2 linked regions of the Oryzias latipes genome follow. The protein of the gene in region 1 purifies or fractionates together with the protein of each later gene. This does not show direct contact. Links are inferred from orthologs where the notes say so. Each region holds a gene or a part of one and is shown on either strand. Other genes may lie near its edges.

The links.
Region 2: the proteins of zcchc10 (region 1) and neurl4 purify together in Homo sapiens (co-immunoprecipitation; 3 studies listed by BioGRID and IntAct, with this or other methods). This does not show direct contact. The link is inferred for Oryzias latipes from reciprocal best matches to the Homo sapiens genes ZCCHC10 and NEURL4.

What each region holds. Positions count from the first base shown.
Region 1 is NC_019872.2:6,661,534-6,674,111, reverse strand, and holds zcchc10 (zinc finger CCHC domain-containing protein 10), read left to right. Parts: upstream 1-4,975; 5' UTR 4,976-5,053; coding exon 5,054-5,094; intron 5,095-5,940; coding exon 5,941-6,102; intron 6,103-9,509; coding exon 9,510-9,551; intron 9,552-10,802; coding exon 10,803-11,037; 3' UTR 11,038-11,253; downstream 11,254-12,578. Other genes in the region: heat shock 70 kDa protein 4-like, read right to left, coding at 420-542, 863-1,003, 1,134-1,191, 2,345-2,451.
Region 2 is NC_019876.2:14,646,278-14,658,923, reverse strand, and holds the start of neurl4 (neuralized-like protein 4), read right to left. Parts: upstream 6,944-12,646; 5' UTR 6,702-6,943; coding exon 6,537-6,701; intron 3,990-6,536; coding exon 3,476-3,989; intron 3,400-3,475; coding exon 3,334-3,399; intron 3,262-3,333; coding exon 2,798-3,261; intron 2,198-2,797; coding exon 2,086-2,197; intron 2,008-2,085; coding exon 1,919-2,007; intron 1,842-1,918; coding exon 1,769-1,841; intron 909-1,768; coding exon 635-908; intron 544-634; coding exon 362-543; intron 288-361; coding exon 202-287; intron 131-201; coding exon 1-130. Other genes in the region: shbg (sex hormone-binding globulin), read right to left, coding at 10,725-10,852, 11,061-11,250, 11,366-11,502. UniProt on the Homo sapiens protein: Promotes CCP110 ubiquitination and proteasome-dependent degradation. By counteracting accumulation of CP110, maintains normal centriolar homeostasis and preventing formation of ectopic microtubular organizing centers.

The sequences.
Region 1 (12,578 bases):
GCGAGATGTGGAAGATTACATAACAGGTGCTGTGTTCACACGGTGAGCTCACGAAACACTTCCCACTCTTCACAAACAAGGTCCAAGAGGGGAACTAAAGCTTCCACACAAAGACAGCTGGTGCTCAATGCGCCAACATGTCACACGAACAGGTGGCAGTCCATTTCTGCAGGCCTCTATTGCTTTGTCAAGAAGCTACAGCTCCTAGAAACCTTCGTAAAATGAACTCAGTACAGGCTACTTTACTGTTAAAAAGTTTTTCTGCACAAAACAAAGTTAAGTTTAACTTTAGGGCCGGTCAGTGCAAAGGCACATATTAAAATTATTCTCTTTCTGTAAAGTAAAATAGTTGTATTAAGTACACACAGTATTCAGACTAATGTTAGGAACAACTATAAGCTTTAAATAAGAATACTTACAGAGATGACACAGTCAATGACCTGCTTCTTCAGCGCGCTCTCTGCAGTCTCCTTCAGTTTGGTGAGCAGCATAGCCGTCACCTGCTCAACGCCGTAAACCTTCTCTTCCTCCATGTACATCACCTACAATTTAAACACATTAGGGTTAATGTTGTTTTTTTTTTTTAAATAAAAAACAGGAACATTTTCAACATCATAGGTGAACAGAATAATTGGACCTAAATATTTGTATTTAAATGGCATATTTTTCACAAAGATAACAAAGCTTATCCACCGAGTTACATTAGCACTAGAGCTGTATGATTGACAGGAGATTCATTTCAGATTCCAAGAAACTTTTTGTCTCTTCAACTGAATTCCTCAGAGAATAGCAGTGGAAATATTCTCTTCCCTTCATTGCATCCAAACTGAAATCAAAAGGAAACTGCAAATATTCATCTTACTTTTAAACCAGTGGATCCAGAGGGCATCTGCGCCACGTCATATACCAAGTTGGACTTGGCTGACTGAACGTAGGGGTCTGAGAAGGCCCTGCCATGGAAGCGCTTGAAGCCCTGAACTGTGTTTTTATAGTTGGTCACTGCCTGAAACGGGGAACAAAATTCAAGAGATTTACCATAGAAACGGCACAACTTTATTACCATCTCTTTCTTTTTGTAATTTTTTTTTTTTTTTAAGTTTGAGCTGAATAGCAAAGTAGCTGATGTGACTTACCTGACTTTTTGCAGAAGCTCCAATAGATCTATTTCGTGGCCCAAATGATACAAATGACCTGGAAAAGCAAAGCAAAATGTTAACTTATCAAATCAAATCAAGCTTTATTTATATAGAACTTTTATAACTCAGGTCACTCAAAGTGCTTTGCATAAAAATATAAATCAGATTAAAAACAAAATGACAAGACAAACAAGTGTTTTGTTTAAACATTGTAGCTCTGATGGTCTATTACAAACAGAAACATGTCAGTAATTACCGGTATTGTGTTTTATATAATATTCAAAAATCAAGACCAGTTCACTTGGCACAAAACAATGAACTACCTGGCATAACAATAATAATAATATTCATTCCTGAAATGCAAATGTTGACCTCGTTTATAAAGTGTTGTTATTGGTAATTAATCTCCAAAGCAACATTTAAAAAGGTGAAGTGTAGTGTTCACAGAGCATAGGGGGGGGGGGGGGGGGGGGGGGGGCTGTCAGGTGCAGCTGCTGCAAAACTGGCGTTGATAACAAATGTCTTGTTAGAGACTCTCAGGGACAATGAACGATAAAAAAAACATAAGCACAATGAATGGATGGAGAGTTACGATTTGAAGGTGGATAGAATAACGCACGATTTACTACTTTTTTAAAGATACATTTATATATTGACATATTTAAGTTAACTTTTACAATATATACTTGGCAAATGAATTTGCTTTAAATGGTTTTATATATATTTTTAACAACCATTTACGTTTTTGGGCTGTTCAAAGTCTATTTACTAGAATGTTCTAACACACGAGTTTGTGACGTCACCAGTCTGGTCAGAATGTCTTGTTCAAGGGACTAACCGGCAAGTGAGAGCTAACGCCACCCAGCGATGCACAGCCAGTGAACACCATTGACTGTTTGAGAAACACCGCCCAGCTGGTTTTTACCGGCCCGCAGAAAAGAAATAATCGAGCGTATCGTTTCCAAACGGCTCAACGATGCTCAGTAGTTAATACATTGACGAAAAGCCGAAATTAAATCTAAATTATAAAGGACTATTTAGTGTTTGGGGGAAAAACTGCGTTTAAATGGTTGTTTTATTTTCTCTCTGTATGCTAGTTTGATGAACGGTTACTAGCCAGCTGCTGCTCATCATGATGAAAGTAAGCAAGCACACACAGACAGGTTAAAAAAAAATCATGCCGCTAGTTAAAAATATTTATTACTTACGGTGTACATCTGTCACTGTACTCGTTAGCGACTGTTTCAATTCCTCCAGCTCGTGCAACAGCAACATAGCAGCTTTGATATCCCAAGTCAAATCCCACCACTGACATCTTTTACGATTCGCTTGTCTTTCAACTTTAAGGTTGTCTCCAATGCTTCTTATCAAGGAAAAAATAATGAAACAAAAAAAAGGTCTGAAGTGAGTAAAGTTGTCTTTCAGTGCGATGTTAAATAGAAGTTTTCATAATCACCACTGGTGTCTGGTGCCGGTGTCTTTGGTCAATGCTGACAAGCTCCAGTCGGCAACGGGATTTTACTAACTTCTCGCTTGGTATTATCGCGAGAGTTGAGCAGTTCTAGATGTCTCTCGACTTTTCCACAACCATCAAGTGAATAACAGACCGTTCTGGTTCACTCCAGGTTTTAAGACATTTATGTTATTTTTTAAGTCGTTTTTACCAGTTCTGTCAACTATTATTCTATTATATAACTATTATATACAACTATTATATAAAATTCCTGAAACAGTGTTTTGTCTATTTTACTGATATGATACAGTATTATTTTTTATTTCACATCAATGACTTTTATAAGTAACATAATCTTCATATATTTTGGATACTTCATTGCCATGTTGATTTCTAAAAGTTATTTTTTACAAAATAATTTAAGTAATTCATCTTTGTCATGTGCTTTCTAGGAACCGGATATTGATAAATCATGTAATAAAATGGTTACAGTAGAACAGGGGTGGAATTATATAAATTCGCTTCCTTCCACTCCCTTTCAAGCAATACTTAATTTTATGTCTAATTATACTAAGTTTGATTAGTTATTTTATAAATGTATAACTGACGATTGGATTGTTTTTTTGTGTATTATTCCTATTTGATTGCTTGAAATAAACCATTTCAAATCAAAAAATCAAAAATTATTGTTAACTATACAAAACAAAAATCAATGTCTAAAGTAGCCTGTGTTTTTAGTCAAGAATTAGAAGGTTTTTCATATTTTTTATACCGTGCAATACTTAAAAAAACAGACTTAACACATGTCTAGACCAACTTGTTATTTTATTGCTGTATATTCACTGCCCCTTCTTATATAAATAAAATTCTACTGTACTCTAATCTTCAATAATACTTTTTGTTATTAAAACTTTTGTGATTTAAGCTTTTCAAAGTTAGCCTAAATAATGAAAATGATCTTGTCTACAATAGGCATAGATTTTGCTTTTTAAATTTTTTATTCAGAGCAAATAATAATTTTTTCGTAAGACAGTCCTATGAGAAAGCTTTTTTGTTTTATTTTTTTCTTTGTTAACATACATGGTAAAAACATTTGAAATAAAAAAAAAATAAACAAACGAATTGCAACTTTAATAAGAATATGCATTGTATTTATTTTTGTCAGAAATTAGCTAAATGATGATGATAATGAGTATGAGATTAAAACAACTGTAATAATAACATAAACAAGTACAAAAACATAACAAAACATGCAAGCAAAACTGCAGTACTTCAACCCAACTACAATAGTACAAAGAATGTGTATCAATTAATTAACTTGGTAATACTGGCATCATATTGAAATTGGCAGACAATTAGGTTTTAACGTATCTGTTTCATCTAATTCAAATATATTAATTTGTTAAAATTAGGGCTGCACGATATGAGGAAAACTCGCGATATGCGATATTGGTGATTAATATTGCGATAACGATATAATTTGCAGTATATAAACAAATATCAAACCAACCAAAAACATCATTTCCATTTCAATGCAACAGCATAAAAATTATACTCCAAATGACCCTTGTCGACATAGGAGGCAAACATCAAACATAAAAGGGCTCATTTGATTGATCAACAACGTAAACGAGTCCTTCCGATTGGTTAAATGCATAAAGGGATTTATTTCATTTATTCAATATTTCAAGCTGCCATGAGTTTGTTTTAGCACATTTAACCCTTGTGCTATCTTAGATGACCCCCCCTTACAGTGACGTGTTCTTCCTACCATGACAAAGGTGGATAAAGGTGGAAAGATTTCATGTAATCCATGGACACCAGTGAAGATCACAAATCCTAGAAGAAAAAAGGTTCAGAGCACTGTTTAGTGGGTCTAGATGACCCCACTCCCAATGTTAAAGTGCTTAGGATAGCACAAGGGTCAAGGTAACCATTTATTGCGATTTTGCCGTCTTTTGCGGTATGCATATTGCACAGTTTGATGTCGCGATAACGATAAATTTGCGGTATATTGTGCAGGCCTAGTTAAAATCCATATCAAAATGTTGAATGTACAATCTTGCTGCTGCTAAAAAAGAAAATACATTTTTACATGATTTTTCAGTTTATCTACTATTTTTAACACTAAATCTGAAAAAGTACAAACTTTAACTCATCATCTAGGTAGTTTGTATGTTTGCTTATTTCCTTATTTGTACTATTGATGTTGTAACTGTGTTGAATTATTAGAACCACTGAATATTATTTCTACTTAATAAATGCATTAAATTAATTTAACGCATTTATTAATAAGGAAACTATAAAGAATTTTTGTTATGAAAATTTCAAAAATAGTGGGAAAAAATGAACATGACCTTAAAAAGCTTTATCCGTTTTTACCACTGGGGGCGCTGAATACATTAACTTTTCCGGAAGCTCGTTGTGAAGAAACACCACAGAAGAAGTTGCATCAGATTTTAACATGGCTACTCCTATGCACAGAATAATTGCCAGGAGACAAGCGTGAGTATGTTTTCGTTATCACAACGTTACTGATTCCATACCAAATTTATGTGAAGACAACATATCGATAAACATAAATTACACTTTTTTGTTGGGTGCAATATCCTATAGAAGCGGTAAATAACGATTATTTCACTGTTTAAAAACAGTTAAGATGCTGCGCTTCTTCTTTCGCTGTTCACACTTGTTTTCCGCCATTAACGCCCCAAACTAATTATCGATACAACCGCACACGTTCCTGAGGATTTTAGTAGACATTAAGGGGCGGAAAAACTACATTTTGTTTGTGTACAATCTAATAAAGAACGAGCTTACTGCATAAAAGTTGGGATAGAATTCAGTAGTTCGTGAATCGTTGATGGCCTCACCGACCGTGTTATGTTCACTTACTTGGGTAGTAATCAATTAATTCAATAAAATTGGGTTTAGTAAGAATCTGACGCAGGAAAAAACAAAATTTTCAGGACTTTTATAAATCCTTTTCAAAATATGAGATTTTATCAGTATCCACTGTAATATAAAATATTGAATTTTTCTTTTAGTTTGGTTTGGTTTACTTATGCCAAAATTGTTTTATGAACCAAATGGATTTGTAGTGGCCTTTTTTAAAGTGGAAAAAATCAAATTAAATCTAATTGTGAACTTGGAAGCTACTCTGCCTCAATATATATCATCTTCATATTTAAAAAGAAAAATTCAGAGGTTCAACCTCCGTCACTAAGATCAATTACAAACATTTTCTTGTGAAAAACTATCAAGTATTTCCAGGTATTTATGGATTTGGCCCATTTAACGTACTCCTTTTGTAGTGTTGAATCTGAAACCTCTTTTTTTTTTTTTCTACAGGGAGGCAAACAAACAGCATGTACGATGTCAAAAGTGTTTGGAGTTGGGACACTGGACCTATGAATGTACGGGCAAAAGAAAATACGTCCACAGACCATCAAGAACAGTTGAGATGAAAAAGAAATTGAAAGAAGTCGAAAATAAACCACTAAGCATTACTGGGTAAGGTCACTTATTCTTTTCTTAAATATCCTAATTGTATTCTTTCTTAAATTTGAATTTAACCACAAGGGGGCACAATTCAATGCTTTCATGTGGCGAATCCCAAGTCTGTAAATGCTGGAGGTTGTGACTGTATACAATATGAAAAACATAACCAAATCCAAAAACGGAACCACAGACAGAACTGTTCTACCAGATTGGCTGTAGAGCGGTTGGTGAGGTGTGCTGTAGGTGTGACCGAAGACTTCAAGGTGGAGGTGGGACTGGACAATGGATCAGCTTGAACTCTTCATTGTTTGATGTGATGATGGACAGACTGACAGACGAGGTTTAGACAAGAATCTCTGTGGACTGTGATGTTTTCAGATGACACTGTGTTCTGTAGTGAAGGAACATCTAGAGAGGTGTAGGCTTGTTCTGGAAAGAAGAGGAGTGAAGGTCAATCTCAGAAGGACAATGAGGAGGATTCTGGTGAGATTACAGGGAGCCGGGGTGAAGAAGATGGACGACTTGAAGTATTTAGAGGTCAGCAGTCCAAAGCAACAGATTGAGGAAGGATTCAGATGTGATGTGTGACAAAAAAGTTTCAGCAAGAATGAAAGGAAAGGTGCAGAAGACAATGGAAAGAACAGCCTTAGTGTTGGTTTAGACTAGAGCAGGGGTGGGCAATTCCAGGCCACGAGGGCCGGTGTGTCTGCATGATTTCCAGATACTCTTGCCCTACTCATGGCTGATTACCTGGTTCAGGTGTGTCCAGCCAATCAGAACATGCCAGAGCAGGGTATGCTGGAAAACATGCAGGACTGCGGCCCTCAGTGCCCACCTCTGGACTAGAGCATGGTTGTCAGAGTCCAGGGGGGTATTCCAGGAAGCATGTTTAAACTACCCTGACTTTAAGCCTGAACTCTGGCTGAAATCCGCCTGAACTTGCTTACTCTGGGTATGGCGGTTCCAAAAGACCGGATATGAGTTGGCGTAATTACGCTCGACTGGGTAACCCTGGGTTACCGCACGTGCACAGCAGGTACATAAAGACATTCTCAATGGATCGCCGATATCCCAAGTCACCATGGAAACGCGTGGAGAACAAAAGAGAGCGCTATACTTCAGTGAGACGGAGTCTGAGATTTTAATGACGGCGTATGAAGATTATACGCCCATCAAAAAGTAACACGGCTGCATCAGCAAAAGAGAGTTTCTGCTTGGAGAAAAAGAACGGAGAAATAAACGCACAAGTTTCTGATCTTATTTAAAATGACATTGTGACGTATATAAATAAAACTTATCGAACTTAAAAAAATTGATTCAAATGGTAACAAGTGATGGAATTAAATTTATTCAACCTAATTTCTTACGTCTATAAAACTCTAATTGTTTTTAGAACTCAAATTTACATAGTTATCTAACTAAATGTCATATTACTCCAAATCAATTAAATGTTTTTCCATCTCAATTTATGGTACTTCTTGAACTCTCATATGTCTAAGTTAGAGGCTGCAGATTTTCTCATTTCTATAACATTAAAATGAATGACATGGTGTGAATTTACAATATATACCATGCCTTTAATTATCATGAGTCTGACTGTAACTTCAGTTCTTAGACTGCACTCTTGTACTAGTGCTGCTAAATAACCTCATCCTCCTCTCCCTCCCTCTCACTCATGGTGCAGAAAGAATTAAACATAACAGGATAAAATAACACAGTAAAACAACAAAACACATTTGGTCAAAAGAAAGGTGTGGATTCTGACACCCCTGGTTGAGAGACTCTGACAAGAAGAGCAAAGATGAAGATGTTGAGGTTCTCTTTGGAGGGAGGAGGATGGATTGCATCAGGAATGAAGTGATAGTAGAGCACATGTGTCAAACTCAAGGCCCGCGGGCAAAATGTGGCCCGCCGTGTCATTTTATGTGGCCCGCGAGAGCATACCACTTTTTCATTTCTTAAAATAAAAAAAGGCGTATAATTATTTATTTTTTGGAAATAAGTGTTGAGCTCCAATCTACACTATCGGATCTCAAAGACAAACCCATCTCTATTGAGCTATTAGCCCCTTTATAATAATGAAACGATTCAGCTGGGTCGTCATTCGGAGCGGGAAAGTGAGAGCGGAGCAGTCCATCAACTGACTGACTGACTGACTGCGCTGGACACTTGTCTGCCCTGCATGCCGCATGACTCCCAACGAGAAGCTGATTGCGCAATCCGCTTTCCAGCATTGAGCCCAATTAATTTGAACGCGCAGAACGTTGAACATCGCACACGAGTCATCCCCCTTTCCTCTCCCCACAATCACGGTGCAACAAAAGAAGCAAACATAACAGGAAGAATTAACTAAGGGTGGAACAACAAAACTGATGGATGGAAAGAAACGTAGGCAACAAGAAACACCCATTCTCAACCCTATTCTGACCAGTGGACCGCATCCCACAATCCCCCGTGCAATACGTTGGGTCTGCTGGAATACCCACTATCCCCCGCGCAGTTTAATGTTTGCAGGTCTGTATGCAGACAAATTGTTGTCATCAAACAATCAGTTGGATGCAAGGCTGTGTGCAGCCTTTGTTTTTGTAAAATGTTGCTTGTGTCAAAAAAGTTATTTCTAGCTCAGTTTTATGTTATTGTATTTTTACTCACTTGGACAGTTTGATCCTTCATTAATGGAGTTATGTGGGTTTTAACAAGCAGACAATATTTTAACAGATTTATGCTAGAGTAACAAACAAACATATGTTTTCTTTGCAACTGTAATTGTCACTTTAAAATGTTATAATAAATAAATGAGTTATTTAACATTAAGGAGTAGTTGCATTCATTTGTCATTACATTTAGTTACATGTGTGAGTTATATCTGGCCCTTTGAGGACAACCACTATGCTGACGTGGCCCAAAATAAGTTTGACACCCCTGTATTAGAGGAACGGCTGAAGTTAGATGATTTGGGGATCAATGCAGGGAAAGAGATTGAGATGGTTGGACACATTGAAAGGCGGGACAGTGAATATGTTGGTAAATTGATGCTGAGGTCGGAGCTACTAGGAAAGATCAAAAGGTTCATGGATGGAGTTAAGGAAGGCATGATGGCAGTCCTCATGTAAGCGAGGAAAATACAGAGGAGAGGGTTGGACCAGGCCTGGTCCTCGGGGATCTACCACCCTGCCTATTTTCCTTTTGCTGCGGATCACCTGGACCAGGTGTGTTCATTCGTCTGAATGTGGAGACGTCTGATTGAGCTAATCAGCAGCTAGGAGGTCTGGACAACAGGCAGAGTGGTAGATCTCTGGGACCAGGATTGAGCAGCCCTGCAGATGATGTGGTGACCCCTAAAGGGGGCAACCAAAAACGGAGAACTTCCCCATTTCATTTTTGTTTCAGGTTTAAATGAAACTCCTTTCTGTTCACAGACCAGGAAGGGAAGGTTCACACGAGAAGAAACTCAAAAAGAAGTAAGTAGGAATTGCCAGATGTTAATTAAACTTTGTTTTTTAAGGCAGTTTTCTAAATAACTACATGTTCTAACCTGCCAGTTCTTCAAGCATAAGGTTAAAAAAAATCACATCTGCAGTAAAATTCACTTAACATTATGAGTGAAGCGCATTTATGTGGACATCCTTCATGTTTAGTTTTCATGTGAAATATTTGTTCCTAGTAAGACCCTGACTTGAACTAAATTTAAAAGATGTTTTAAGAATAATGTAGAAGATAGGAGGAGATTTCCAACAACATCAGGAGAAGCAGAATGGAGGGAATTCTTTGTGTAAAGATCAGAGGTAAAAACTTTCACAGAATTACTGCCAGCATTGTGAAGTAGATTTTTCCAGGTGACAGGAGTGTGGTATATATTTATGTGTTTCATGTCAGAACAGTGTTCATAAAATAAATGATTTTAATTTGCTTCACTTTCAAATGAACAGACAAGAGGAGACAACAGATGAATATTATCATTTTAGTATCAACACACCACTATAATTTCATTAATATTAGTTGTCAAAGTTATTCTGGGTGTTGGCTCCCTCTAGTGGATTATTCTAGCTACTACAGGTTTCCAGCTCTTATAGTTGGGAAACAAAATTTAAGTCTTTCTTGAAATCCGAATGCTGTTTGTAAAAAAAAAAAAAAAAATTTAAAAAACGCAACTACATATGGTCTTCATCAAGTTAACTAATTGAAAGTGATTTTTTTTCTTATCTAGTTTTCTTCTAACTTCCAGGGAGTAGAGAGCATGTCAATGTTTAGACTTTTTAGAATTTATTATATCTTTAAATGTATTAATTTTTTATTCATTCTTTGACAGATAAGGTTTTGTTTTGATCATGTATAAAATAGTTCTGTCTGTTCTTTTAACATATTTAACAGCATAACACCAAAGTCAGTGTAAATGGAACATAGTCGCACAAATGCTTGCGTCCAAAAATGACCTGAATCTGCTTGGCATGGCCGTTGTGCAGCTCAAGTCATCTTAAAAAAGATTCGTTTAGTGACTTTATTCTTCATAGGATACTGGACAGTCTGTGACATAATAGCTGACATTGAGCTTGATGGTAACCAGAACAGACTGGCCGTGTCTTCCTGAACATTTTTGTTTGTTTGCTGCCTGATTCCACGGCAGAAACACGGAAAGCACAGCATGACGCGTGAAGCTGCACACGCTTCTGTTCACTTATGTCTTTGCTTTGTGCTGCCCCTCTGACTCCCAGAGCAAAAGACGCCGACGACGGCAGCGGGGCCTCAGGAAACTCCTCCAGCGACTCCTCATCTGACAGCAGCGACTCCAGCTCTTCCTCTGATGACAGCGACAGCAGCAGCGACAGCGACAGCTCCTCGTCTTCATCCACAACATCCTCTTCCTCTTCATCCTCGGACAGCTCGGACTCGGGGAGCAGCAGCGATTCAGATCAAGAACCTCCTAAGAAGAAGAAAAAGAAAAAATAGAAAGGGAATGTTGTTGTTTAGTTGTTTTCCTCAATAAACTTTTCTAAACTCTCTCGACTAGATGGCACCAGAGCTGCACAGGTTTGGTGGGGAGGAATTCGGCTGAATAGTATTTGATCGTTGCATCTTCTGCTTAGAAAATGTTTCTATTTCTGAGAAATGTTCATATGTTTATATTTGGATTCTGGATACAAATAAAATGATGATAAAAAGCAATATTACTAAAACTTGGTTTAATACATTTAAAAAGAAATGTGTTCTGTTTATTAGTTTTAATGTAAAAAAGGTTAAAAAAAAACGAAATGTTACAGTTGAGGGAGTACTCGATAAAAGAGAAGTGTAATGGGGATTTTTCTTTATTTTAAATATAATTTAAAGTTTTTCCTTTTTGAAAGAATATAATAGTAAGGTCAGTAGTTTACTGTGTCTCACATGGATGTAACGTTTGTAAACGTCTGAAATTATGCGTCTTTCAAAAGACAATATGGATTAACATTTCAGGACTAATTCACAATAAAAACAAATGAGTGAGACACTAGTTTTTTGCTTCAAAAATAATTTAGGTAATTTACAATATAATTACTAAACTATTTTGCATTTTAAATAAGAAAAAAAAACTTTCTGGGAGAGCTGCTATAAGTATGGCATTTCACTAAATGCAGTGCCCCAAAAGATTAGAAATGTAAACTACTGCAAGGATTTCAAAAAGTATGGTAATACTTGCAGAAAGGACTGCAAATTGATGGTACTTTGATTAGGATTCATTTAATTTTCGGTAGGTTTCTCTAAAATGATCTTTTAGTGTATACCTGGAAATTTAAATTACAATCAGACCGTGCATCTCTAAGAAGCTGAATTTAGATCCTTTAGAGATGTTGAACCAAAAGAACAATGGTGTAAAAAGAGTTAAAAAAAATGTGTTGACATGTACCTGATTAGGAAAAAACTGTGGCTCCATACAATCAGCAGGGAACAATGAGAGCTGTGCGTGATTTCTACTGAACGTCAAGTCTGAGCCAGCTTTGCGTCAGAATGGTGTTGCGTTCACAGACAACAGTAATTATTACTACTCTCAAAAGGTTGTCTTCCCATAACATCCTAATGAACTATATAATACATTTTCAACATTTGTATACGTGATATCACGTTCTTTGTATTTGTCTCAGACGTATTAAACATTCTTAAATTCAGTGTATATTTTCTTTTTTGTGTATTATTTCACGTTGAACTTTCGAGTTTTAATTTTTTTTAAATGAGAGCATTTTTAATCTAGTTGAGCATAATCGACTGCAAGGAACTAAACAAAGCGATTCCCGTGGGAGTGCCTCCACATTTGCCCCTCTAATTCCGTTTATGACGCTGGGTGGCGGTTTTGACAGTTTTCTGACAGGCCGTGAAGGCAGCTTCTTCTGATGCCATCCATGCATCCAGTCCTGTCTGTGGTACCTGCTGGCTGCCTCACCACTTAGCTAGCAGTTACCTATCAGTCACATCTCTTCGGGAATAACAAAATGAACAAGGAGGCAGGATGACTTCATTTT
Region 2 (12,646 bases), on another chromosome or scaffold:
GACCGTAGAGGTCAACCACAGCGTAGACGCTGGGTGGCACGTTCCAGGCAGCGGGGCCCTGCGCCACGCCATTCACGAAAAAATGGAGGCTGCCGTCTTCTTTCCGAACGACGCCGACTGTGTCGCCTGCCTGCACGGGCAAGAAAAATGTCAAAACAATAAATACCCCAAAGACCAACACTGATATCTACTAACACCTACTTTGAGTCGATCCAGGTTGTGCCCATATTCGTCTAAAATGGTCGTCCCGTTGTGCATCACGCCGTTCCCCGTCATCATCCACGTCCCTGAAAACATCAAAAGATTAGCCTCCGACTAGCCGAACCGACCTGCTTTAAAAAAAGGCACCGCGGTCGTTCACCTGAGCGTAGATTGGTCATGGTGGAGGGCAGTTGCAGGTAGGCGGGGTTGTGCGTTGTGACTCCAATTTCAATGGAGCCCGCCCACTTGTCGACCATTTTGTCAATCCGCACCTGGAACACTTCGTTGGAGCGCAGCGGCCGACTGCTCAGAACCACGCCGTGGTTAAAATCGTCGGTCGCACTGAAACAATCAGCGGCGTTAACCTGGATCACCGATTCAACCCTATTGAAATATTTAACAAAGTTCTGCAAAAAGAACAAATAAAGCTCACTGCGGCCGTAACGCGGTCCGGCCCTCGCAGATGATGGCGGCCTTCTGGCCACAGTTGGAGTGAAAGAGGAGACGGTCGGGCGCCTCGGCGTCCGGAGTGAGCGACAAGCCGGGCCGGGATCGCCCCACGTCTGGCGACAGAGCCCGCATGATGGCGTTGTTGCGCCTGAGGCGGTCGCTGTGGTTGTGGTTGTGGACTATAGTGACTTTGACAGCCATGCCGTAGAGGTCCACCACTCCATAAACCACCGCCGGAGTCTGAGCTGCAGCCACACCTGGTGACAAGAACAAAATCCATTACAGCGCATTAAAAAGGCTTCGACTGATGCCAGAAGTTTGTCACTGGTCCTTGAGAGCCTCAACCCCGCCTGGTTTCCAACTCGATGCTGACAACCTAAACCAGGTGTTTTCAGTCAATCAGGATGTGGAATTACTCGAGTTAGCCGAGAGCTGGTCAGGCAGGACTGGAAGACAGGCAGGGTTTAGGCTTTGAGGACCAGGGTTGGCCAGCCCTGGCTTAGAGCAACAACCTTCAGCACAGAAGGAGGACACTCGGAGTGGGTTTTTAGGACGAATTCATGAAAGTTTAAGGGTTTCTGAAGGAAGGCTGCTCCAGCCATGCACCAAAATCTATTAGCTCCTCCCCCTTAGACTGAGCCACCAGAACAGAAAATGTGTTTGTCTGTTTTTTTACTTCTCATTAAAAAAGCTTAATCTGTTACTATTGTCAATTGATTACGTCAATGACAACAATACATGACAGCAATGTTCTAAAAATAGATTATCAGTTTTCAAAATAAGAGGACATCAAAACTAGGGAAAAATATGAACATAAATAATTTTATGAGGCAAAACTTTAGATCACATCAAAATACTCGCAGATTTGTTTTCTTACAGCACTAACAACAAACTACTACATCATTGCCTTAGAAATAGAGTTTTATTGTTTTTTGTTGTTTTTTTGCCTTTGGAATTTAGGTTGAGAGAATATTTTTACGCACTTTGAGTTACACAAGTGTAAAAAGCGTTTTATAAATAAAGTTTGATTTGATCGCACCAAATGCTGAAAGTTTCTGTTCACAGTGTACCAACGAAACAAAGGTGCGTAAATACCGCAGGTTTTCTGAAGCCTCACCTTGATCGATGCCGTTTATGTAGAAATGCAGCGCGCCGCTGGCTTTACGCATCAATCCTATGTGATCGCCCTCCTACGAGCAAAGTATGTTAAAAGCAGAGCGGAGAGCAGGTGACGTTCAAAGGCACGTTTGTTCCCGTCGGGCCAAACCTGGAGTTCGTCTAGGCTGAATTCACAGTATTCTCTGCGGGTTCCTTTCCCGTTGGTCAGAATCCCACAGCCACTCATCATGATTGTACCTGATGGGGAAGCCAAAGCCACGCTGTCACACGACTGGGTTTGGAGCCTTTCGTTCCTGTCAGCGTCTGGGCGCCTACCTGAGCGCAGATTGGTCATAGTTGCGGGATAGTCCAGGTTGTTGGGGTTGTGCGTGGTCACACCGATCTCGATCGACCCCGACCATTTGTCCACCAGCTTATCGATGCGGATCTGATGGTGAGCAAGAGATGGGCGTCCCATCAGCAACAAATGCAACCAGTGGAACCAACTGAAGAAAGAGGTCGGATTGTGCCGTTGACTGTATAAGAGAACTGGACTGAGCGAGAGTGACGTCACCCATAGAAAATGGTTCCCTTTTGGTTCCAACCAAATGACTTCAGTCGCCATTATTGTCTATACAAATGTCGCCATGTTGGAACCAGAAATCATCAGTAAGCAGCGATTGGTCGAAGTCGGTTTAAGTCGACATTTCTATGGCAACCACGCTTGCCATTTAGGAGTGAGCTGGCTGAGAGTGCACACCACCACCACTTGGGAGCGGACTCGGGAGAATCTGCCAAACGCTCTGAATGTTTTGGTGAGACCACAAACTTTTACCGAGGCATCTGATTGGTCAGTTTAAATGGAATACCTTAGCAAGAACATTGGTTATTCTGACTAAAAGAACGACTGAATAATAGCCGTTTGTTTTTTACTAGAAGTCTATGGGACTTGTCTTCTTGGAGCCAGCAGGTACTTCCTGTTCGGATCGCCAGGGGGAGGGGTCACTCAATCCAGCTATCATATACAGTCAATAGGTTGTGTACACGCCTCGAACATCTCGTTGTGTCGCAGCGGCCGGTTGGTCATCACCACGCCGTTGTTGAACTCGTCCAGCGGTCTCCGCCTCTCCGCCGTTTTGTTGTTGTTGCTCAGTTTGATCAGGGTGCCGCACTTCTCGTGGAACAGCAACGCATCATTGGTGGTCATCCCTGTCACGGCTCCAAGCCCCGCCCCTCCATTGCCGACGGGGCTGTTTGAGCTCCCGTCTCCTCCTCCTGCTGCTGCAGCTCCCCCACTGTCACTGTGTGTCGTGCCTCCTCCACCGCTGCTCCCTCTGTCGCCTCTGGAAGAGGAATCGGATCCTGCGTTTCCTCCTCCTCCCCCCTCGACACCTCCTCCTCCTCCTCCTGTCCCACCTCCTCCCCCATCTACCCCTCCGCCCTCATCTTCAGAGCGATAAAACGATACTATTGCATTGTTGAAGACGTCGAAGAGCTGGTGCTCTGTGAGAACTGAGGACAGAGTGGCGCTCGTCAGACCTGCAGTGCTCCTCCTGATGGGAGATCTCAGGTGGATCTTCTTACCTGTGTCGGGCTCCAGGTTGTTGGGGAACTTGTCTGGTCTGTTGTGGTTACAGGTCAGCTCAGGCACTGGCAGAGTGAGAGTCACTCCAGATCAAACAATCGAAGATAGAATCAAATGATTTAAAAAAACAAGTCTCCTTACCTTCATCTCCGTTCATCACTTCATTCAATGCTGCCACATTCATCAGTGCTGCGATCCCCCCATTCTCCCGAGCACCACACACCACCAACTCCTCCTCCGCCTCCTCCTCCTCCTCTTCTTTCTCCTCCTCATCTCGCTCTATTGTTTCTCTCTCCATCTCTGCAGGAGGCGGCTCGCAGCTCACCACCGTCACCTGGGTGCACTTCCCGTACAGGTCCACCACCGCCCAGAGTCTAGGCGGCAGGCCGCTGGCGGCCGCGCCGCAGTCCTGCCCGTTCACCCAGAGGTGGAGCTCTCCCCGGGAGTTGCGCTGAATGCCCACGCGGTCGCCCTCCGCCAGCTGGTCGAGGTCGCGGCCGTACTCCTCCAGGACGGAGCGGCCGTCACGGAGCACAGAGCAGCCCGACACGATCCAGGAGCCACCCTTCAGGCCCGTGGCGCTGCTGGGGAAGTCCAGCGCGGCGGGGTCCAGAGCTGTCACCCCGATCTCAATGGAACCGCTCCATGAGTTCACCTGCAGGGAGACGGAGAAAAGATGGAGGCTTCCACTAAAAAAGAAAATCCAACTTCATGCAGTTTTTGGTTTAAGTAGCATCGCACAAGATGCAGACATTTAATGGCTTTTAAAGCAGTTTTTAATTAAAGTGGTGGGGGTAACAAAGAGTGAAGCCAAGGTTTTGGCAGCTTTTTTACTTTATTTTGGCCTGAACTGCTGATATTCTTTCAGACGAGGCTGATGTTGAGAACAACAACAAGGACATTTTCTGTTTTTTTAAAAATAAAAATATAGCAGATCTGCATCTTAACGAGCTCCAGATTGTTTTGTAAATGAAGAATTTTACAAAATAATGACAGGAAATGTTTTTTTTTATCTTTCAAATGTTCACATCAACACAATGTCTGTAAAAAAAGAAAAAAAAAAATAAAGTTTGCCACAATGACAGACGCCTTTCTCTCATTTTTTGTTTTTGCACGCTTCACCGAAGCTGCTTCTGTTCCCCCCCCAAAAATGAAGAAAGTAATACTTACTGACATTGCAAAACATTTGCGCTTTAAATAAATTATAAAATATCCATCAGTAGTAAGAAGGCATGCAAACATTACGCGTTTTAGGTTTAATTGCTGACATTTTAAATGCTTTCTTTAGCAAGGGAGGAGGTGTGTGATGAAGCTCCAACAGTATAGAGACATAATATTTAAAAATGATGGGGCTGCAATCGGTGATAAAGCTTGTGTAAAACTGCAGCGGGATGAAAGCAAGTTCTAATTCTTTTTTTAAAAGAGCTTTGCTGTTATTTTTAGTCTGCAGTGCATCTTCATACTCAGGAGGAGCATCTTTGAAGACAAAACACTGAAATAAATGACAGAAAATGACACGCAGTAAAGCACATTAAGTCCTTGCAGTTCTGTACTTCTATATAAAAAAAGGAGCTAGTCACAAAAGCTGAAACATCAAATATTGAAGGTGACTGATCGTGACGTTACTCTGATTGTAAGGTCTCCTGACGCTTAGTAAGAAAAAGGACTGGATTTCACACGAGTGAATCACGTTTTCCCCGTAACTGTGCTCTTCTATTTGAGCAGAGTCAGCCAAGCTGCAGCAAACGGAGACAGATAAAAAGCCAAGCAGAAAACAACACACACATTTTTAGAAAATGACAATAAACAACGGAGAAAAATCATCTTTACCCCTTACCATCACCCCAACTGAGAGCTCCACGTTTACACTCTGTCCCACTAGCTTACAGCCTTTCACACACCCCCACAACAAAAATGATGAAGCAATAATCCAGATGTACAGTTTGGAGTCAGAGACCAGCCGAGACGAGATAAAACAAAGACGTTTATGGATCTAGACGTCTGCAAAAAGATGCATCGGAATGGAGCGGCCCCACCCTTAATTTCTACATCACAAATACGAGCTTTTCAAACCATGTTTCTTTTTGTCTGCTCCCGATTCACAACGATCTGAATAAAGAGAGACTAGACTAAGCTTCATTTTCTTTATCTATGTCCTCCAGCATCAGAAAAACGCCACAAGAACATGTTAAAAACTCAAAAAAACAACATGATTTGCATGATCAGAGTGGGTCTGTGGAGCCCCGTAAGCGTATGCAGAGGGAACTCCTGGCAGCCTGCAGATAAAGCAGCCAAACCAGGAGCTTCTAGCAGGCAGCATTCAGGGGGGAGGGACAAAGTTAAAATTAATAAAACCCCTGTCTGTTCTTTACTTTTCACTCCAGCTGATCAATTTTACATAAAAATAAGATTTCAACTCGTCAACGTCGGTTTAAAACCCAGATTGATGCATTTAATAACCAGATCATTGAATCCATTAGGTCAATTTGCACACAAGAGTTACACACCAATAACAACATGTCTGTCTTTATTTAATTTCAGCCTTTAAGCCCCAACTGTGACACCAAGCAGATCTTGTTTACAAATGGATGGAAGCTTTTTGGTGCTAAAAAGGTAAATGGCTGGGGGGTGAAAAGGCTCGACCCACCCTGTCAGTCACAAAATGAGACAACAACAACAATGATCAGTTCAGTAACATCCTCTGAGCCCCTTCAGCTGGGCGGTGCTGCTAGCATCCCTCTGGAAACCTGGGCAGCACCGACTTCTTTCAAAATTGCAAAACTAATTTTTATTATTATTATTATTATTATTATTTGTATTTATTTTTTAACCATTGTGCTACTGTTGTGTTTGAATAGAAGCGACAGTTTTCATTTTTTTAGAAGCGACACCCGTTCTAGAAAGTCAACAACAGCTAGCATCTCATTAGCTAGCTAACTAACCTACGGTTATCGCGAGCCCGGCGACCAGTTTACCGTACATCCGAGCCGAGGGTGCGGTTGTCGAGTCACCGCGCCGCCGCTGCGGCCCCAACAGTCCCCCGCCACAACAGGTAGGCGGCCTGTAGAGACGCGAAGAGCGGCAGGGGGTGGCAAGATGAAACAGAGCCGGGTTTATCCACTTACAGCCCCCACTGCTGCTCTGAGTGACCACCGGCGCTCGGGGTGGCAGAATGCAAAGCATCGGGCCCGCGCTTGTTTACCTTCTTGTCGATCCGGACGGTGAAGACATCCCGGTCCCTCAGCGGCTCCTTGCTGAGCACGAGCCCGTGGTTGAACTCTTGGACTGGCTGGTTTCGCCGGGCGGTTCGGTTCGAGTTGGAGAGGCCGATCAGCTTTCCGCTCCGCGGGTGCAGCTCCGCCGCCATGTTCAAGGGGGGCGGCCAGAAATCACGACACTCTGGTTTTGCGACAGTAACGTTACGTTAGCCCGATGTGCTAGCTGCCGAAAGTCGCGCTGGATACTTAGCGCGGGAAAGAGGTCACTTTACTTCAGCAAATTCAATGAACAAAAGTTATTTAAGAATGTATCATATTTATAAGGAATTTTCTTTGAAATTCTTTAGAAATACAGTAAAAGAAGATTCTTGTTTCGAAATAAATGGCAAAATATCACATTTACAAATAAGTGGAAAGCTGACTTTGTTTTATAATTACATTTTTTATATTAACCATAAGTGACTCAACTAACAAAAAGGTGTTAAAAACAAATTTTAGAAAGTGACTTAATTTAAAATCCTATAAGCCTTGCATTATTATATTGTGTTTATTTTGTTTTATCGTCTGTTGTTCTGTATTTGCATCTTTTGAGTGAAGTTACTATTTATTTTTTGTCAATTTGCTGAATGTTAAGCCATGTTCTGTCATGTTCAATCGTTCAGTAAATTATTAAAAATGGAAAAGAATTCAGCAAATTCAGATTTTTTTGGAAGATTAATGATAAGACAGACACTGTCCACTGTGGATTTATATTCAACTATTGAATGAAAACACTTAAAATAAACTTGAACTGTCCTTTTGTTAGTTATATAATGGAAAAAACATCAGAAACGCAGTGCTACCAGGGGCGGAGCTTTGGGGGGGCAACTGCACCCAACAAAAAATTTGGCCCCACCCCACTTGCCCCCATATTAGTCAATATTAGTATAATTACTGACAAAGATTAGGTAATCATCAATACAAGCCTTCTTTAAGCGTTAGTAATAGCACCTCAGCTATTACTCAGTTTTTGATCTTTTAATTTGCAATTCAATTCTATAATAAAATTATTAGAGCATAATTTTAATTACATATACAAAAATATAATCTGCTCTCTTTGTGGATCCCCTCAGCAAAGTAGTGTATTTACGTTTATATACCATCTATAATATAGACAGTATATAAACTTAAATACACTACTAACACGGAACATTTTAGGTTTACAATATATATATTGTAAACCTAAAATATTCCATGTTAGTCTAAGTAAGTATTCAGTTACTTTCTACACTATAAGTACATGGTGTACAATAGGCCTGCACAATATATCGCTAATTTATCATTATCACAATATCAAGCTGTGCAATACGCAGATCGCAAAAGATAAAAAATAAATAAATAATTGCACTAAATGGTAACCTTAAATATCCTTAAACAATCTTATGGCAGCTTGAATTATTTAATGAATTAAATAAATCCCTTTATGCATTTGACCAATCAGATGGAGCCCTTTCATGTTAGATGTGCACCTCCTATTTAAACAAAGATCATTTGAAGTGTAATTTAAGTTATGTTGACTCTTATTTAATGAAAACTCTTGCAATAACATGGAAATGATATATTTAGTTGTTTTGCTATTTGTTTATGTAATGCAAGATATATCCTCATCACAATATTAAGCACTAATATCCCAAATTGCAAGTTTTCCTCATATTTTCCAGGAATTTTTTGCTTTAAATGTTTTAGTTTAGACATTGTTTTAGTGAAGGGTACATTTTTTGTTGTTATTTCAAATGCTTTAAAAACGCAACGTTGTTGATCCTAAAGACCTTCAAATCCTCTCCCGCCTCCATATCACACCCTCCACGAAGGAGGTTGTAAGGGCAGGGATGCCCAGTTTAGTTAGTCTGTTTAGTTAAAGTTTTAGTATTATCCTATTGAATTCTATGCATTCATGATCCTTTTTTGATTGTATTTTTACCTTACAATTACCGATATGAAGCCCATTGAGATGACTGTTGTTGTGAATTTGGGCTATACAAATAAAATTGAATGGAATTGAATTGAATTGATATCTGTGACGAATGACATCACCGTTCTTCTACATACAGACACATTCTCTGTTTGGGAGTGGACTTTCATTCCTCTCCTTTTTCAGGACAAACCATCAATTCTTATTTTCTTTCTCCTGAGGTTCTCATTAAAACTTAAACCATATGGAAAAATATTTTGATTTGGATTAATAAAATGTAGTTTCAATGGAAGGTCTGCAATAAATGTATACATTCTCAGAATCCAGCATAAACTAGTCTAAACCAGGGAACCAGTCCAGCTAATAATCTGTAGTTTATAGGTTAATATAAAGTTATGACGTTAAATTCTTAGGGTGAAAAAATGAAACAATTTGTGGGAAGTGGCTAAGAAAATACCCAATAATAATAATAATAATTACAATTATGTTGATAATTATAACCACCAGAATGGATTTATGATCGAAGTTTGGTCTGTTGTCTTCATCTTTATTCAATTTAAATATTTTAGAAGATGTGTTATGGACATTTTCAGTGCAGAAACGACTGAATATGTAAATGTTTAATAACTTGAAGATTTTTTTCCAACATAATAAAAAGAGTTAAAGCTGACTTGTTTTCAGTTCACCACTAGAGGGCGCAGTTGAATTGCTAAATCCCTCACTCTTTTGGTTTGAAAGCTTCTACCTCCTTTTCCCACATGCAGAAAAAATGTTTTAAGAAACTTTTCTCATTTATCCCCAACTTTCAGACATTCATTTTAAAATAATCCGGAATCACTGGAATCACCCCTGCTCCCTTCCAGGGGAGTAAGAAAGAGGAATAATACATGAATTGCACCGCACCAAACAGAGGCATGGAGAATTAAATGATAAATAATTGATCACTATATATGGGGTAAAGAGAACTAGAAGAGAAGATTCCAGTTGGCTCGCCCGTGCTCCTGTACTTGGCCGTTGACCTCGCCACTGGCTTGTCTTGCGCTCCCTGCTGTTTTTCAGTTCCATATGGAGTTTTAGGAGGTTTTCTTTACCAAGAAGGGATGCCCAGTTCAGTTTAGTCTGTTTAGTTTAGTTGAGCAATTACCTATTTTTTCACGACCGATTTCATGTTCTTATAGAATTACCGGTATGAAGCCCATTGAGACGACTATTGTGAAATTGGGCTACATAAATTAAATAAAATTGAATTGAATTCTAAAATAAAATAAAAATTAATGCAAAGAGTTTCTAAGAATTAGATTTAATAATGAGGGTAATTTATGCCCTTTGTCTCAAAACAATATTGAAACCCAGGAACATTTTTATGGTTGTAATTTGGTTCATTATTTTGGCAGGATTTACATGATTGGCTTTTAACAAAAAGATATTCCTTTGTTTATATGTAATATCATTCAATTTGGTTTTATGCACAAAAACATATTCAATTCTTAGCTAACCGCTTGACGCCTGAATTTATTTCCAGCTTTAAAAACTAATCACTTATGTTTTTTCTTTCAATTAGATGCTAAATTCAGGTGAATTTGGAGTAATTTTGCATATGTGGATCAACAGGCATAGAAGGGGTTAATTATTTGATCTTTTTAGGAACATTTTTTTAATTATGAATGTCATTTGATGAAACTGAGCACCGATGTTTTCTTTTAAAAACAACTACAATCACAATCTGTTCTGTAGATCCCTTCAAAAATCATGAAGTAATAAAAAAATATAAAACTCTCAGATTATTTATCTGTTGACGTAAACAATTGCATTTTTCCATTTTTAGTCGTTTTTTTTATTGCTTTCACTTAATACAATCTACTTTGGTCTTTTTTTATGCATTTAGATTCTGATGGCTGCTACTTGGTCTTTGTTCAAGTGTTGAATTTTTGGTAGGTAATAGTTTCCATGTACAGTAGTTTGAGTGATTAAATGTTTGGAAATGTAAACCAAAGGAAAAAAAGCAACAAAACTTCTCTCTTCTAGCCGTTCTCCATCTGTTTATTCACATCTTTCATTAGGATTTTATAGAGTTTCCAGACCAGCTTTAAGGTCTTCATTTTTATTTTGTGTCTGGACTTTATAACAGATTATTTTTCAGTCTGATGGTGGGTCTATCGTTCTGTTTAGACAGAATAAAGGCATCAGCTGCTGCTGACATGCAGCGCATGCTTTTGTTGTTTTATGCAGGGCAGCTGTGAGAGGAGATGGACATGTGCTTGACAGCTAAATCCAGATCCAAATCCCTTCCCTGGACTTGGATCTTTTCCAGACAGCCTGTCAAGAAGTGGGAGCCGTCCTCACCTTCACCTGATGAATGAAAAAGAGGAAGAGGAGAGAACGTTAGAGGGGACTGCACAGCCCGAGACTATCAACTCAATGGATTTTCTTTTAAAAAAAAGAGAATCCTAATTTTTTCCATCTCACTTGTAAACACTTTTTTAAGTTTGTGCTCTCAATAAATCAGTTAGAAATGTGACATTTTAAAAATCCATGCATTACAAATGTTTGATCTCACCTAAAAGACCCCCAATTGCGAGAAGACCCTCTCTCCAAGTTGTCAACTCTGGATTGACGGATAATGTTGTGCTTTGTGATTCATCTCCGTCTTGAAGCACTTTCAGTTCACTTTTCGAGAACGTAATGAGTAGTTTCTTGAAAGTGCTTTTCAAAATAAACTTCTCCTCCCTGAAACTGACTGTGAGCTCCTGAGAATCAGAGGAAAAGAGACAAACGTGGTTATCCCATCTTCTCGTTTCATCTATTTGCAAAACTTTGGTTTTACACAAAGTTTTAGGACTTAAGGTGAACTTTCAGATGTACCTCTGTGTTCTTACTGGCTTCCACCCTAAACTCCAGTTCTTTTTGTAAAGGCTTTATGCTCAGAATGGTTCCATTCATCTGACGGAAATCCGCCCAAAGCTCAACCCTGAGCGCAGCATATTCATCAGTCTGAAAAACTTTAAATGAACAAAAGTAGGTCACAACAGTAAAAGAAATGCAGTTTACCATATTTTTCAGAGTTTAAGTTGTGTTTTTTGCAATAGTTTGGCCAGGGGTGAGACTTATACTCAGGATTGACGTATATGTGATTTAAAAAAAAAGTATTGGTTCGTATGGATTACTGGTTGCCCTCTAGCGGTTGTTTCCCACTAACAACCACTAGAGGGCATCGTCAGTATTTGCTACTGACAGCAACGCAGAAGAAGAAGTGCCGTCCAAAACAAACATAGAGGAGAATATGATCGTTCTCCTCCTGAACTTTACAATATTTTTTCTGATTTGGATCGAGACATTGTTGCTCTTGATTTTATTGTTTAATGTGGGACAACAAGTCATCAAACTGGCTTACAGGGAGACAGAAGTACAGCTGAAAAAAAAAAAAAGACTGAATGATCTCATAAACCAGTCATGATGACTTGTTTACTGATGTTTTTGTTGAACTCTTCCAAATAAATAGACCTAAACTCTTAACATTATTTAACATTATCCGTGTCTTCCATCCATGTAAATAAGATATTCAGCTTCCATGAAGCGATAAAGCTAAAAACGTGACGACGCACATGAAAAGAGGCAGTGGACGTAAATTTAATGCGCGTTGAAAAAGAGGCAGAAGATGCAAATTTTATGTGCATCAAAAGAGGTGGCAGATGTTTATTTGATGCACGTCAAAAACAGGCAGGGGATGTTAATTTGACACGTGTTGAAAAAAGGCAGCAAACGCTACTTTAATGTGCATCGAAATAGGCAAAGGACGCTAACTTGATGCGCGTGAAAATAAAAGGCAGCGGATGGGAATATAACACGCGTCCAAAGAGGCACCAGGTATGGCAAGAAAAAACCTGTTCGCAAAGTGAAAGCTAATTTGACGCGTGAATCGCATCTGGTGTGATTGCTGCCTTACACCAGGCTTGGCGGATTTGTTCAGACACATTACACTTTTCTGCCAAAAGAGCATATTTGTTTTTTCTTCTTTATTGTCCTTTTTTTTGGCTACTGTGATTTATACTCCAGAAAATTGGTCACTCACATGATTAACAACAAAAAAGGAAAATCATTCAGGTGTTAGGGCTGCACAATATGAGGAAAACTTGCGATTTGCGA